Linked DNA regions of Saccharomyces cerevisiae S288C. The gene in region 2 interacts genetically with the main gene of each other region. Each region holds a gene or a part of one and is shown on either strand. Other genes may lie near its edges.

The links. A genetic interaction does not mean that the proteins touch.
Region 1: mutations in SYS1 (region 2) and GDA1 together harm fitness more than expected from each alone (negative genetic interaction), as found in Saccharomyces cerevisiae (4 studies listed by BioGRID).
Region 3: mutations in SYS1 (region 2) and RGP1 together harm fitness more than expected from each alone (negative genetic interaction), as found in Saccharomyces cerevisiae (4 studies listed by BioGRID).

Annotation. Positions count from the first base shown.
Region 1 is NC_001137.3:70,979-77,034, reverse strand, and holds GDA1 (guanosine diphosphatase), read right to left. Parts: upstream 3,265-6,056; coding exon 1,708-3,264; downstream 1-1,707. Other genes in the region: YEF1 (NADH/NAD(+) kinase), read right to left, coding at 1-1,091; GTA1 (Gta1p), read right to left, coding at 3,687-6,056. UniProt on the Saccharomyces cerevisiae protein: After transfer of sugars to endogenous macromolecular acceptors, the enzyme converts nucleoside diphosphates to nucleoside monophosphates which in turn exit the Golgi lumen in a coupled antiporter reaction, allowing entry of additional nucleotide sugar from the cytosol.
Region 2 is NC_001142.9:428,976-433,794, forward strand, and holds SYS1 (Sys1p), read right to left. Parts: upstream 3,226-4,819; coding exon 2,614-3,225; downstream 1-2,613. Other genes in the region: CYR1 (adenylate cyclase), read left to right, coding at 1-2,262; COX16 (Cox16p), read left to right, coding at 3,669-4,025; dolichyl-diphosphooligosaccharide--protein glycotransferase subunit OST1, read right to left, coding at 4,246-4,819. UniProt on the Saccharomyces cerevisiae protein: Necessary for the targeting of ARL3 to the Golgi. Involved in protein trafficking. May serve as a receptor for acetylated ARL3.
Region 3 is NC_001136.10:725,564-731,957, reverse strand, and holds RGP1 (Rgp1p), read right to left. Parts: upstream 3,700-6,394; coding exon 1,708-3,699; downstream 1-1,707. Other genes in the region: HPR1 (Hpr1p), read right to left, coding at 1-1,380; ATP-binding cassette glutathione S-conjugate transporter YCF1, read left to right, coding at 4,407-6,394. UniProt on the Saccharomyces cerevisiae protein: The RIC1-RGP1 complex acts as a guanine nucleotide exchange factor (GEF), which activates YPT6 by exchanging bound GDP for free GTP. It is thereby required for efficient fusion of endosome-derived vesicles with the Golgi.

The sequences.
Region 1 (6,056 bases), on a different chromosome or scaffold from region 2:
TTTAATTCCATGCTATCTGGTAAAATTATAGGCCTAAAGCTCAAAGTATGAGGACATATAGGCGTCACCGCTATGGCATTTACGCTTGGCGATATTAAAGAGCCTCCTGCACTCAATGAGTATGCCGTGGATCCCGTAGGCGTGGCAACAATCAATCCATCTCCCTGAACCTTAGTCATTAGTGAGTCGTTTCCATAGAGTTCTAATAGGGATAAACAAGGAGCTGGACCTCTATCTATGGTTACTTCGTTCAATACGTGATGTTCGGAGATGAAATCGATGTAACATATTTTTCTCCCAGTTGCGGCATCAATTTCTGGTTTATTTCTACGGTAGAGTTTGCATTGCAACCTCATTCGTAAATTAATACGAACCTCATCTGTTAAGATATGTTTCAACGTTTCTTTGAAATTTTGAAATTCAAAATTTGTTAGAAATCCTAATGATCCAAGGGCAAATGGAACAATCGGCGGAACATCTTTCGTGAATATAGATGAAGCAAAAAGGACAGTTCCATCACCCCCTAGTGTAATCATCAAGTCAAAGAATGAATCGTGTTTTTTAACAAATTCTTTTGACCAATACTTTACTCTGTTTTTACTGCAATTGCTGTCTTTGCAGAGGTCACCAACAGCAAACTGAGTTGACTTTTTAAAAATATCTTGTACATATACAGTTATTGAATGGAAATTGCGTAAGATCCATTCCACCACTTCTCTCATGAGAAATACAGTGGAAATATCATTAATATTGCAGATTATTATCAGGTTTTCAACCTGCAAGTCAACCTTAGCATTTATAAGATCCTTTCTCAAACGCCTTACATCGTATGCAGTATCAACATAAAATGGGTATAAATTACTCGTGTCCTCACCGACAATTGTTTCGCTCGATAATCTTCTGACCCAGTTTTTTGCATCATGATAACCGCACCTCATTAAGCCCGGTTCTTCGAAGTTGCTTAATACCTTGCCTTCCGCTAAAACTTTAACTGATGTCATTCTGTCAATAGTATCCATAGTATCCATCTCAGCATCTCCCTTGGTACATGTCTCCGGGGAAGCGTTAATCAGTAATCTATCAGTTTTCATATTCTCTTTTAGTAAAAAATGTCACGTAAGCAGATTTATTGAGATTGCACTATTTCCATTTCCCTTTCACAACGCTATAGAAGTGAGATGAATACACTAACCTGATTGTAGGTTTATTTATATATATAATATCAATAGCTAGCAGTTTATTAAACGACCTGAAATGCAGTTTCTTCGATCACCAGATAAGTCCGATTATCCTTTTGTTTTCGATTTTCTTGAGGACCGGTGTGATATCCACAATCACCCTAAAACTAAAACAAAGCCATATAGTCTTAAAACAACGGAACAATCCATAACAAAAGTATATTAAATTATCTCATATGTTCAAGATTATGAGGTCCTAACAGATAACTCTTCCAGTTCATACTCAAACACCTGAAGGCGTGGCGGGCTTTTACCAAAAATGGATAAACCTCGGAAGGCCTTTTCAATCCCCTGTCTTGGCGGCGGTGTTATAATAAACTATTGTGGGGATAATAGTGATTTTCATAACGTAAAAATCGTTTACATATTGTTCAAGGGTTATAGAATAGGACATATAACAGAATACATATCACCGCAATCTCCTCTTCCTTAATATACATGGGACGAAAAGCGGTGTCCATGTTCTTATTCAAGCTGATTGAATTTTACATTTCCAGTTATCAGCTTTCAACAATGGTAATGACGCACCTAAACACCAACCGATTTCTTTATTGGCAATTTTCTTTCCAGTTCTCAATTCTCTTTGTAATGGAATGTCATATCCCGTATGTAATAAGGACACTTGAAAAGATAAGTCCAAACAGAAGTGCGAGTCACTTTCCAATTCATCTAGGGACCCCGCAATGCCACTGAAGACACTATTCCAAGTTTCTTCGCCTTTACACACTATTCTTGCCAAATCGTTCAATTCATTCAAAGTAAAGGACAAGGGCATACCCAATGGACGGGTTCTGTCGTAGAAATAAGAGAAAATATAGATATCGTTCGATTCTTTGAATGTACGAACTAAAGAAGGTTGGTGAACCCCATTGAAAGAGCATGGTGGAGACTGGCACTGAGCATCTTTATTCAAAATTTCATCAGTCAGAAATCTACATTGTGCACCACTTGGCTCGTCCGGCCCTATAAAGTCAATGGTATAAGTTTCCTTGGATTCTAATGTAACCTTTTCATTTGTGGCATTAACTTTAGGCGGTAGGCATGGAGATGACAATTGATGAGTCTTAGTGTTATCACCCTTCAATATTTTGCCGTCTTTTAATGCATTTTCCACAAGAACAGAGTTAACTTTATTTCTTCCTTCCTTCAAACCGTAACCTAGATGAGAAAATTGGTACAAGGTGTAATTTTCATCACCAAACTTCAAATCAAATTTATGCTCACCATCGACCATTTTTTCATTTATTGGGAAAGTAGGCTCAAAAACAATTTGTGTAGACCCTCCGCCTAAGTCAAAAACGGCAGCAGTAGGTAACTTGGGGCCATTAGCACCGATATTACCTAATAGGTAGTTTGTAGTAATCCAGGCGAAGACACCTTCTTCATCACCGCCCATGATGGAAACACCATCACCTTCGACAACTGGGAAAGGATAGTCCTTCTCCAAATGATCCCTTACAGCGCTCAAAATTTTTGAAGATTTGGCATCACCCAAGAGTCTTAGGCCTGCAGTAGCTTTCACCGCAACGGGAGTACAACTTCTTGCCTTAATAGGGACATAGTTCATTGCTACTTTCAGTAATGGGTCAAGGGAGTTAGCGGCACCAACGGAATCGGTATCGAAAGAAGATAAACCAGGCTCTAACATGTCGAATTTTTCATCAAGTAATGTAGGTGGGGAAGTACAGACGTCAAACTTGTATATATGTACTCGGGAACCGGTAGAGCCGGCATCGATCATGATAACATACTTATGTTCTTCGCTGCATGTTTGACTTGTTTGTGACTTCACAGCATCGGCAAGCTCAGGATAGTTTTGTTCAGTCTTCGAATCTTGAAGGTAACCTGGTTCATCATTGACGGGCAAGATAGAGATGTCCTCCGGAGTTTTGGGAATACTAGCATTAGGAGTAACTGTACGTGCAATAGAAGGTGGACCGATGGAAGATGTTTTAATCAACAAAATGAGCATAATAACGGCAAAAGCACCGATAGCGAACCGGTAATTTCTAAAGATGGGCGCCATGTTTTTTGTGCGATGATGTCTTAATGTTTCTTCTCGAGAGGACCCTTAACTGTTCGCCAATAAAGATTGTTGATTGCAGTCCTTGCCCTTTTTATTAGTGCTTTCTCCTTAAAACCAAAATTAAATAAGCTTGTAAAAGAAACTGTTTTTATATTTGGAAAATCGAAGCACTATGCAAGGAATATTATTAATGTTGACAGTTATTTTTCATGTGTTATGTTTTTCATATTGAAGTTGTAAAAAGATGGGAAAAATGAAATTGAGACGAGACGCCAAAATAAAAAGAAAAAAAAAAAGAAAAAATGAGATTAATACCGTTACCCTATTGATGATTAAGAATAAGCTCAAACTGCTTTCATATATTATGTTTCATAATTTATATATCTACATATATACACGACCTGGAAGTATTATAATATTGTTCATGAGTCGTGACTGTGCGGGTTAAATAGATTATTCATACCGCTCTTGGACAACAGTTTTGACATTCTTCTACCGCTTGGACTAGTTGATGGAGTTGATGAATCTTGAATATCCGTGTCCGCATTAGCAGGTGATGATGCAGACTTGTGCTTAAACTTGGACCATGCAGAAGAAATGCTGCTGTTACTTTGGTTCCTCTTGTGAGAAGGCTTAGGGCTTGGTTCTTTAGCGGGAACCTTTGGACCCACAGGCACATCGAGGTGATACTGCTCCTCCAATGGAGGAGAAAGTTGATTTGTATTTGAATTCCATATGGAGTTGAAAGGTGGTGAAGAGGCATGGAAAGATCTTCGTGTAATGTTATCCGCCGTTGGTTGATGGTTCATTGTTAATATGTTCGAGTGTGAAGGTGTTAAAGTAGTGTTATTGCCTGGAACAATGGGCACATCGTTTGAGAGTCGTGGGCTCAAGTTTGGCACCAATAAATTGAAGTCACTTGATATCCTTGGACTAATGTTCTCGGTTTCATTGCCATTGATATTGTTCTGTAAGGAGTTTGCAGGTTGCGGAGCACTGTAGAAAGAACCACTGCGTACAAAACTTTGTAATGAAGGATCATTCAATGTAGCGGCGAGTAGACTCTGTGGATGCATAGGATTCGTATTGGTTGCGTTGGAGGTTTGTCGCAAATGAGAACTAGAATATGGAGATATTACTGGGTTAGCCTTATATGATGACATAGGTGTTCCAGTCGTAGAGAAAAGACTTTCATTTGTGCTGCGCACCTGGGGTTGCTGCTTAGTCCAGTAATTGTCAAGTTCGTCTGTAGTAAAACCCTTGGAATAATTGCTTATGTTATCAGGATAGTCTGTTTCGTCGTAGATCATATTTTGCAAACCACTGATTAAGTGGTTTGCATTATCGTATTCAAAAGCTTGATCCAATTCTGTAGATACTTGTTGATGCGAAGGTTGAGCGAATTGTGCGGTGGTCCATAAATTTGACCTTGAGTGACCATTAGTTGCTGTTGCTGTTGCTGTTGCATTAGCAGTAGCAGTTGTAGGTAAAGCATGTGAATATGAAGAAGGCTGTTGCTTGTTTTCGTTGTTCGATGAGATGTGATTGGAGAGCATTGATCGATTATCGGTGTCCTGTGTCAATTGACTCAATAGACTGCTTGAAGGTTGTATGGGTTCATTCGAAGGAGAGTACGAAACTGGATTGTGCAACCTCAACGGAGGAGCAGAATCAGCATTACTGTTGTTAATACTTTTGTTATTATTCGATATTAAATCAATGGACCCCGTTCTTGACATGTTGTTGGATAATGGTAATTGAATCGATCCAGAACTTCTGTTTTTTTCCGCGGAATTATTCGAATTGGTGGCAGCAAGCGAATCACCGTTATTCTTATATGGTTGAACCATTAATTTTGTTTTCAAATTCCGATTATTAAGGCTCATTTCATTAAATTGGTTTTCTAAAGCACTAATTTTCTTCAACAAATTTGACCTCTGCAATTTCCAGTTGGCCTCCAATTCTTGATCAATGCTTAGCTCTTGCTTAATCATTTTAATCAATGATGAGTCTGCATTCAATTTGGATAGAAACTCTTCACCAGCATTACTTAAAAATCCATTTTTTTCTAAAGTAAAATCATTGAGCTTCTTCAAAACAGCCGACAATTCTCCGCTAGCAATAGGTTTATCGTTTTCCACATTGGCATTCACCACTATGGAAGTAATCAATGATTTTTTGGAGGCGTTCAATCTCTTGTTAGACTCCTCCATCTTGGAAATTTCATTTTGTAAAGACTCAATTTCTTTGTTGATATTGGCCACAGAGGCATTGGATTCATTTAGCAATTTGAAATATTTCTCCTTTATGGTATCCTTAGACAACAGCTCGGTATCTTCCTGAGACCATTTCTGCATATCATTGCGCATTTTCGATATTTTTTCCTTGGATTTGTCGATTTTCTTGTTCAATTTTTCGATTTTCAAATCGGTCAATAGTTTAGAATTCTCCAATGACTTGATATTGGATTTCAAGGATTTCCGCAAGTCAATTTCGTGCGACCAATGTGTTTTCAAGTTATCCAGTTCTAGTTCTAATTCTAACTTCGATTCTTGAAAATCTTGCAAAAGCGAAGTTTGTTGGGACAACACATCGTGTAAGTCCTCCTGGGCGCAAATCAGTATCTTTTTCAGATCATCGATGGAAAACGAATCCAAATCCTTCAACGTAGTCAAAGATGTGTAAGCGGGTAGATTTGAACCATTATTGCTGGTGGCGCTATTAGTAATATTGGATGAGAAAGTAGACAGGGAAACAGAGGAGTAGTGAGAGGGCAACGGGGCGGGTTCGGA
Region 2 (4,819 bases):
TCAAACTATCATTACGATTGGAACTGGAGGAATAATAAAGAACTAAAATATTTGAATTTTTCAGGAAATCGAAGGTTTGAAATAAAGTCATTTATAAGTCACGATATTGATGCTGATTTGTCAGATCTGACAGTATTACCTCAGTTAAAGGTACTAGGTTTAATGGACGTAACTTTAAATACTACCAAAGTACCGGATGAAAATGTCAATTTCCGTTTAAGGACAACTGCATCAATAATAAATGGGATGCGCTACGGTGTTGCTGATACATTAGGTCAAAGAGACTATGTGTCATCTCGTGATGTTACCTTTGAAAGATTCCGCGGAAATGACGACGAATGCTTACTATGTCTTCATGATAGTAAAAACCAAAATGCAGATTATGGCCACAATATATCAAGAATTGTTAGAGATATTTACGATAAAATACTGATCAGACAACTGGAAAGGTATGGAGACGAAACAGATGATAATATAAAAACTGCACTTCGTTTCAGTTTTTTGCAACTGAATAAGGAGATTAACGGAATGCTAAATTCTGTTGATAATGGTGCCGATGTTGCCAATCTTTCATATGCAGACTTGCTAAGTGGCGCTTGCTCTACTGTGATATATATCAGAGGGAAGAAACTCTTCGCTGCAAATTTAGGTGACTGTATGGCTATTTTATCCAAAAACAATGGTGACTACCAAACGCTAACCAAACAACATCTCCCAACAAAGCGGGAAGAATACGAGAGGATCAGAATATCTGGCGGGTATGTCAACAATGGAAAATTAGATGGTGTTGTAGATGTGTCTAGAGCAGTGGGTTTTTTTGATTTGCTTCCCCACATTCATGCTTCTCCCGACATATCTGTCGTGACATTAACAAAAGCAGACGAGATGCTTATTGTAGCAACGCATAAGTTATGGGAATACATGGACGTGGATACAGTTTGTGATATCGCGCGTGAGAATAGTACTGATCCACTCCGTGCCGCAGCTGAGTTGAAGGATCATGCCATGGCTTACGGCTGTACAGAGAATATTACAATTTTGTGCCTTGCTCTTTACGAGAACATTCAGCAACAAAATCGGTTCACTTTAAATAAAAACTCTTTAATGACTAGAAGAAGTACTTTCGAGGATACTACATTAAGAAGACTTCAACCTGAGATTTCTCCGCCAACAGGTAACCTAGCAATGGTCTTCACTGATATCAAAAGCTCAACCTTCTTATGGGAGCTATTCCCTAACGCAATGAGGACCGCAATAAAAACTCACAATGACATTATGCGTCGTCAACTACGAATTTACGGTGGTTACGAAGTAAAGACAGAAGGAGACGCCTTTATGGTGGCATTTCCTACGCCAACTAGTGGTCTGACATGGTGCTTAAGTGTTCAATTAAAACTCTTGGATGCACAATGGCCGGAGGAAATTACCTCAGTTCAAGACGGCTGCCAAGTTACGGATAGAAATGGTAACATTATCTATCAAGGCCTATCAGTTAGAATGGGTATTCATTGGGGCTGCCCAGTTCCAGAGCTTGATTTAGTGACTCAAAGAATGGACTATTTGGGGCCGATGGTCAATAAGGCAGCAAGGGTCCAGGGCGTCGCTGACGGTGGTCAGATTGCAATGAGTAGTGATTTTTACTCTGAATTCAACAAGATAATGAAGTATCATGAGCGAGTAGTGAAGGGCAAGGAATCTCTCAAGGAAGTTTATGGTGAAGAAATTATCGGAGAGGTTCTTGAAAGAGAAATTGCCATGCTGGAAAGTATTGGTTGGGCATTTTTTGACTTTGGCGAGCATAAGCTAAAGGGACTCGAAACCAAAGAACTCGTTACTATTGCGTATCCTAAGATTCTTGCTTCCAGACACGAATTTGCATCTGAAGATGAGCAGTCAAAATTAATCAATGAAACGATGTTGTTTCGTTTAAGAGTCATTTCAAACAGACTGGAATCTATAATGTCAGCTTTAAGCGGCGGATTTATTGAACTAGACTCTCGGACGGAGGGAAGTTATATTAAATTTAACCCTAAAGTTGAAAATGGTATTATGCAATCGATTTCTGAGAAGGATGCGTTGTTATTTTTTGATCATGTAATTACTAGAATCGAATCCAGTGTGGCATTATTACATTTACGACAACAGAGGTGTTCAGGACTGGAAATTTGCAGAAACGATAAAACATCTGCTCGAAGCAATATTTTCAATGTTGTTGACGAACTTTTACAAATGGTTAAGAACGCAAAGGATTTATCAACTTGAGTTCTGTTCGTAAATTATGTACCACCCTGTTACTCGTTTCATATTCACGCTAGAGAAGTACCTCAGCTTACTAGATCCATTCACACATTGCAAGTATACTAAAACTATATAAAATTTAAGTACGTAAACTCTTTACTTATTATTATCTTCAATGTCATCACGTACTTAATTATGTTAAATATAGATTGTGTATAAATAAGAAATAGGATCTGTTTTGAAAAATTGGCCAAAAAGGCAGATTTATTAAGCCTATAGAGATAAGGTTCTTGCCATTTTTCATACATTTACTGTTTTCTCTTGAATGACTATAATATTGCCAAAATTGCCTCGAATATGTTGTTTCATCTCCTCTCATATTTGGCTTTCTAAGTCTTTTAGTTGTATTGGTGATTGCTCCAATTCTGAATGATTACTATGCTGCTGACTAGGCGTAACCAATCCAACTTCTCCTTCATTAGGATCAACCAAGCCCTCAAAAAAGGTGTCTCTAAGCTCTCTCCATCTTGTTGTCCATGTCCCCAAAAATATTAGTATTAAAGATGATAAAATTTGAAGAAAAAACCAAGAAAAAGAAGGAAATTTCCGAGTATAGAGGAACACCACAATAAAATTGATGGCATGTATAGTGATAGCAAAATCCCATGCGAGTTTACTCCGTCCAACGATAACAGTTAAGAAAAAAACACATATTAATGAATCCAGAAGCCATAACAGTGAGATTGATAAACCGTATGCGTTCGTAAAGTCGATATTCTCCCAAGAAAACAGCCATTCCTTGATATTGAGATCATATCCCGCTAGCTTCGCCCAACAATAAAAAAGAACGATCGCTGTGGTGTAATAAAAAATCTGTAAAAGAACAATTTGAAGTCCAATCTTACTTGGAGAGAGAGAATCTTGTTTGAAGATCTGGGAAGGTTTCAACTCATTCGGCACTCGCAAATACCTTCTTATCGAAACCATGTTACAGTAATTCAAATGCCTATTTTTTATCTCACTTCTATGTGTACCCTTCCTTAGCCTTCCTAAAGATCATCTCTTAACATGAAGTTACAGAATATTACCGTGAATATCGCGAGCTACGAATATTTTGGGTGGGGAGATATTTATTCATGATTAGCCTTGTCCTATAGTGTTACAATGGAGCAAATTGTTCACCGTTAGTATTTTGAATACGACAATATTAAATGAATAATAGCGCCTATCTCTTGTTACGTTTGGCGATTTGTATACCTTGTTAAATAAACTGATTAAAAGCCGGGTTATGGCCGTACACAAGTTATTAGAAAGCAAATACACTTCCTTATATCTGGTCACCTAGTTAATAAAAGGAAGTCTTTAATTTTGGCAAAAACCACTATATATATTAGTCAACAACTGAAATATTACCAGAATTTGTCTCCTAAATGTCGTTCAGCGGAAAAAAATTTAGGTCTAGAAGACAGCAGCTAGTATATGAAGCATCTTTAGCGGGGCGATACAAAAAAGCATTGAGTAAGCACCCCTTTCTTTTTTTTGGTTTACCATTTTGTGCAACAATAGTATTGGGTTCGTTTTGGTTGTCAAGCTTTACAGCGATCAAGTACGAGCAAGGCGATCGTAAAGTTCAGGAAATTAATGAAGAGGATATCTTGAAAATAAGGAAGAATCAAAGGGAATTTGATATTAAAGAAGAATATTATCGTTTACAAGGTCTTTCTGAAGAGGATTGGGAGCCTGTGCGCGTCGCTAGGTTAAAGGATGAATCTGAGAATGTCTGGTAACATTCAAAACGTGAACATCTTTGTTATTCTTCTGTCCTTAAACTACTAAACAAAAAAAACTATGACCATTGATTGTGCAAAGAAAAGACCACGAGAATGTCTAGGAAATGATTGTAAATACCTTTATTCATTGGAAAATTCTTATCTATAAAACTTATAAAAAATTAAATACTGAATTTATTGCTCTGCATCATAAGGTATATATCATTCAAACGTGAACTCAGTTAGTTACGTTCATGTTCAAAGTTTTTAAGACAAAAACTCCCATTAGTGCGGTGAAAATATAGCAAGCAATAGACAGAGGCTTCTTGAAAAAAGAGCTTTTCGGGTAGTCGTACTTTATCAAGACTTGGCCATTGGCAACTTGACTAATCAAATTTCTGTAACTGAAAGTTAATTTAACGTGACCTTTATTTAGGTCAAAGTATGATTTCTGGGTTTCTATAGAAACATTTGTAAAAGGGACTGGAGAATCAATATCGAATATTTCGGCCCCTTCCGGAAGAAATACCGATAATTCAACATTATCATATACAGTGTCCGGTGGGCCGTTTAGAATTGGGATAGAAGCAACGAATTTCTCGTCTGAGCCAGAGGATACATGCAAGAAATCGGACAATTTATTAGTCCAACCGACAGTAAAATTGTAGTTCCAACCTCCAAAGATTGGGAATCTTGGTCTTATAAAGAAATGGTCACGTTCTGCATGCGACGTGGAAACAAGGCCAACCAAATCAGTGAAATAATGATCAGTAGCTCCCTCAGGCAGGAGCATGTCTAAGACAGTAACAAAG
Region 3 (6,394 bases), on a different chromosome or scaffold from region 2:
AACACGATTGTCGCAAATGTATGAACATAAATTGAGCCCACGCTTTTTGTTAACTTCATCAAGGTTCTCAAAATCAATATCGCTCAACGGGTTTTCCCTCAAATAGCAGCTTTTATAGAAATTCCTCGTTTCATCAGAAGAAATTAAATTGCGTATAAGATTTGTTGTGAAACATAGTTGTAAAATGAACTGTTTGCGGTAGTAATCATCGTCCTCTTGAGTCAATTGTTTATAAAGGCAGGTCGTATTGCTCAAAGAGATATCCATAATGGTAGGTCGAAGAGTGTAGTCATCTGATTCTTTAATATTCTGTAGATTCGCCCAAAATTCATTCCTGTCCATTTTCATTGCGTTTGAATGCTTCATATACACGGGTAATTTAGGGGTCATAACATCGTAATTCGCGTAATACTCAGTGTTCAGAGCTTCCTCTAAGGAATATCTAGTCCTATTGTTCATCTTGATTTTGCTGTAAAAGTTCTCTTCGATTTCCAAGATTGCATCAAGAAGGGGACTTAATGATCTGTCCACATCATTTTTATATTCTAAATCGCTAAAAGCAAATTCGATCGGGCAAATAATTAGATGATAAAACACGAAGTTATAATCTGCAGCAAATATAACGTCGGAACTGCGGTTGCTTTCTCGTTCACGTGCTGATCTGTTCCATTCGTTATCAGATTCTTGTAAAGCTGAAATAGAAGCGGATCTATTGAAGTTCGATTCTTCATTTATAGGTAGTAGCTCGGATAAAAAGTTCTCTAGTTTGTATTTCATATTATAATGTTTGACGGTATTAAGGATGTCATTATTCTCTAATTTAGCTAAAATATCGTTCCAGTGGCGCAGCTTTTCGTATAAAGGCTGTTTGTAACTAATCAAATTGCTCTCCCCCAATGATACTGGCTCAACAGATGTATTCATTTTGAACCATTCGATACGTGATTCAGCATAGGGCCAAAACTTCAAAAACGTAGATGGTGAGTTTAGCAAATCAATGATGGTGGAAAATAACTCGAAAAAGGTATTTCCCCAGCTAGCTGGATTAGATCTATTAAATCTTGAGTTATACACAAAATCGAGACCTATACACGAATTTAGTAACCCTTTTTCAAGATTATTTTCTTCTTCGTCTTCAATAGCATTTGTCATTGAATCTATAATGAATCTTTTAAGTATAATGTCAATCAAAGAATCTCTATCATGAATTGCCGAAATATTTTTTTCGAGCGGTTCCCATTCAAAATTGAGAACACTTGCATGCAACATTGAAGATGGAAGTGGTTCATGTCGAATGGAGTCAAACGAAACTGGGAGTGCTTTAAAAGTTTTCTGGAGAAAACCTATTGAGTTTTGGATCAATTCCTCGGTATTAGACATTATTACTCCTTTGCCCAAGTTTTAATGCCTCTTGAATTGTTAAAATCATCTATTAATTTACTGATCAAGCTATGGCAAAAACCTGATCATTCTAACGAAAAATGTCATTAGAGAAGCAATATGCATCGTGCGAAATGAGCAGTCTTGAAATCGCACGGACAGCAACCCATGACATCAAGAGATGACTATTACGACAATAAAGCCGGTTAACTAACTTATAAATGTATCTGTACATACCCTTTATGAAGAGAGTATAGTAAATCCTCTTTACTGGATTGGATTCAAATGCAAAACCAATTATACGAGTAAACTGCACCCATTTATTGCTTACCATCCCATGAAATCTTCGGATGTACACAGTATTGGAATGGGAACGTAACATGTAAACTCTTCACCTTCTAAATTCTCTTTTGAATGGAATAGGATGCCCTTTTTATCCTCATAAAATTGATCCAAAGTGATACTTTCTGTCTTTGCAATTATTACAAATTTTAGTCCTATCATCCACTTATGTTGAAAAACATCTGTCTTGAATTGTCCGGTAATCTGGTTTGTAGGCGATCTTGGAGGAAGTAATTTCACCGATACGGACTTGCACTCATCGAAACAAATAAAATGTTTCTCATACACCGAGTTTCCTTTTGGTTTGCTCCCTATTCCTTTTCCTTCAGTCTTATATTTTGGATTTATAATTTCAAACGATTCTAAGGATACAGTCAACGAAGTCACTTTAAGTAAAGGCGTCGTTATCGGATCTAATTCAATGACTAAATTTATATCATCAGTTGTCTTATAAAAAGGTGCTGATAAGGATACTTTTGCCATAGTCTCATTATTTCTGTTAATTTGATATGCGTTCTGTAAATTAATTAGCTGAGGTAGAAGATTAGAATTCTCATCTGACTTAACGAGAGAACAATCGTTCCACATCTTTTGCTCGAGGTTAGAAATGTTATCGCGTACCGAATAACTTTTTCTCCTCTTAGTTACAGCATCGCTTCTCAGGCTAGACTCTGCAGACGTCACCATTTCGTTCGAAAAGTGTGAGTCGTTGGGTTCAGGATCCGAAGAATCCTCATCCTTTCCGAACTGTACCCCCATTTGCAAGTCAATAAGTTCGTCTATATCTCTTGACACATTTTGGTTAGATTCCACCAGTTCAATGAAGTTTTTTTTGACACGCTTGACAAATTCATTATCTTCTAATGGAGAATCAATGTCAATTATAGAAGATTTTCTCCTACCAAATGATACAGCAGAAGCCGTAGAAACTTTTCGAGTAAACAAACGTGGCTTTAGTTCCTTTATGTTACCTGTCTTTAATATGATAGCAGGCTTATCCAGACGTGATGTGTACTGTTCGGCATTCGAACTAATATATGGTGCTATTGTTATTGGGACTCTATTTGAAAATTTCTCGATATTATCATCAGAAAGTACATCCGCACCAACCTCCAGCGTGTAATTTATTGATGCCACTTTTGACGATGAATAACTTGGGCATATATCTTTTGGCAGCTTTGTGGATTTAAAATAGAATGTTCTTACTTCACCTGGTTCTAAAGAAATTTCAGAAAATAAAAGCGTCTGTGGTATTAAAAGAAGAGGTAATGTTTTTATACTGGTATCGTTTGATATCATTAAGGTCCGTTCGTTATAGGTACCTGTTCTTCCCCTAGAACCGCTTTCTGAGAAAAGAAGACCATTGGTCACATTTGTATAATCTGAGTTGAGGTAGTTGGTTAAATTTCTTTTACCTTTGAAATGTTCTCCATCTTCCAATGCAAGAACAGAATTTGTCGTATGTCCAGGTACAATATCTAGTCCTACCATTTTTACTTCATCTTGTTTAAATTTTGACTCTGAAATTACCTCTGAATCGTATTGAAAGACCCCCGATATTTGAACATAACCGGATATTAACGTTACAGGTTGATGAAAATACATTTGCTTCTGTATTTTTTCTCTTAACATCTTACTCTCATTTAGCATTTTCATGTTATCCACATCCACACTCTCTTCAGGTTCGCCTGTTCTTTTGAAGGCACCTAGTAATGATTTTAGGGACCAGGTTTGATTTTCCATCGTGCCTTCACCATCATCTTGCACTTTCGCTTGTTGTTCCAACTTCTCTTCAACAGCTTTATCGACAGTGAGAAGCTTTTCTTTATAGTTGAACAATTCATGCTGTGAGCCTAGGTGCTTAAATCGGAAAGCAATTGATATATGTTCTCCACCAAAATAGGAATTCGATTCATGTATGATCTCCAGTTTGATGTTTTCTCTTATGAGAAATGTATCGATTCTGTGCGCACGCATATCTTCTTCTAAAGTATGAAAAATATCACAATCAAAATCAACAGCTCAAGAAATTATGGGCTAGCTTTCGCTGTTTGTTTCGACTGGCAGCCTTTGCATTGCCCCGTAGGTATCAAAGCTTCTTTGAAGCTGAATTGATCTTGAAAAATAGCACTTTGGAGACGCGCCTTACGCTTTATAGGAGACTTCGGAGTAGACTTCGATTAAAAAATAAAAATTACACAAGAAGTTCAAGTATTATGTTTAATATTCAAACAACGTTTCCACCTCATGGAGAAATGAAGACTTTTATCGTTCTCCGTGAGGTGGATTTACTGTTATTGTCGTTAGAGTTCATGAATGTTTCTCTTGCGCGAGCAGATCTACTGGTCAGGAATCTACATTACTTTGCAATCCATAGTACGCTTGTTATGCTGCATCAATACGAATATATATATCTAATGCTAACATCTGGTTTCTGTAGATATCTTGGCGTGTGTTTCTTTATGATAATACAAAAATATGTAACTCCTGGTGTGATGCTTGGGCGGTGGAAGGTTACGGCTTAGTAATTACGAAATTGATGAAAAAAGTTAGCAGCTGCTATAAAAGGTGCGATAACCTCTTGTGATCATCTGCTATGTGGAAGCTGGTTTACAACCTACAATTTTTCAATTAACAGTTTGAGAATAAATTAGGGGTATCGTACTACCGTAAAGAACAAGAAAATGGCTGGTAATCTTGTTTCATGGGCCTGCAAGCTCTGTAGATCTCCTGAAGGGTTTGGACCTATATCCTTTTACGGTGACTTTACTCAATGCTTCATCGACGGTGTGATCCTAAATCTATCAGCAATTTTCATGATAACCTTCGGTATCAGAGATTTAGTTAACCTTTGCAAGAAAAAACACTCTGGCATCAAATATAGGCGGAATTGGATTATTGTCTCTAGGATGGCACTAGTTCTGTTGGAGATAGCGTTTGTTTCACTTGCGTCTTTAAATATTTCTAAAGAAGAAGCGGAAAACTTTACCATTGTAAGTCAATATGCTTCTACAATGTTATCTTTATTTGTTGCTTTAGCCTTACACTGGATAGAATACGATAGATCAGTTGTAGCCAATACGGTACTTTTATTCTATTGGCTTTTTGAAACATTCGGTAATTTTGCTAAACTAATAAATATTCTAATTAGACACACCTACGAAGGCATTTGGTATTCCGGACAAACGGGTTTCATACTAACGTTATTCCAAGTAATAACATGTGCCAGTATCCTGTTACTTGAAGCTCTTCCAAAGAAGCCGCTAATGCCACATCAACACATACATCAAACTTTAACAAGAAGAAAACCAAATCCATACGATAGCGCAAACATATTTTCCAGGATTACCTTCTCTTGGATGTCAGGTTTGATGAAAACTGGCTATGAAAAATACTTAGTGGAAGCAGATTTATATAAATTACCGAGGAACTTTAGTAGTGAAGAACTCTCTCAAAAATTGGAGAAAAACTGGGAAAATGAGTTGAAGCAAAAATCAAATCCTTCATTATCATGGGCTATATGCAGAACTTTTGGATCTAAAATGCTTTTAGCCGCATTCTTTAAAGCAATTCATGATGTTCTAGCATTTACTCAACCACAACTACTAAGGATTTTAATCAAGTTCGTCACAGACTATAACAGTGAGAGACAGGATGACCATTCTTCTCTTCAAGGGTTTGAAAATAACCACCCACAAAAATTACCCATTGTAAGAGGGTTTTTGATTGCGTTTGCTATGTTTCTGGTGGGCTTTACTCAGACATCTGTCCTGCATCAATATTTCCTGAATGTCTTCAACACAGGCATGTATATTAAGAGCGCCCTAACGGCTTTAATATATCAAAAATCCTTAGTGCTATCTAATGAGGCTTCTGGACTTTCCTCTACCGGTGACATTGTCAATCTCATGAGTGTGGATGTTCAAAAATTACAAGATTTAACACAATGGCTAAATTTAATATGGTCAGGGCCTTTTCAAATCATTATTTGCTTATATTCTCTGTATAAGTTGTTGGGAAATTCCATGTGGGTTGGCGTGATTATACTAGTTATTATGATGCCATTGAACTCATTTTTGATGAGGATACAAAAGAAGTTGCAAAAATCCCAGATGAAGTACAAAGATGAAAGGACCCGTGTTATAAGTGAAATACTAAACAATATTAAATCTTTGAAGTTATATGCATGGGAGAAGCCTTATAGGGAAAAGCTAGAAGAAGTAAGAAATAACAAAGAGTTAAAAAATCTTACAAAACTAGGATGTTATATGGCTGTGACAAGTTTTCAGTTCAATATAGTACCATTCCTTGTTTCATGTTGTACCTTTGCTGTATTTGTTTATACTGAGGATAGAGCATTGACTACTGACTTAGTTTTCCCTGCTTTGACTCTGTTCAACCTGCTCTCATTCCCACTAATGATTATTCCTATGGTTTTAAATTCTTTTATCGAAGCTTCTGTTTCTATTGGTAGATTATTTACATTCTTTACCAATGAAGAGCTACAACCAGATTCGGTTCAGCGTTTACCAAAAGTAAAAAATATTGGCGATGTAGCCATTAACATTGGAGATGATGCTACCTTTTTATGGCAACGGAAACCGGAATACAAAGTAGCCTTAAAGAATATTAATTTCCAAGCTAAAAAAGGAAATTTGACCTGTATTGTTGG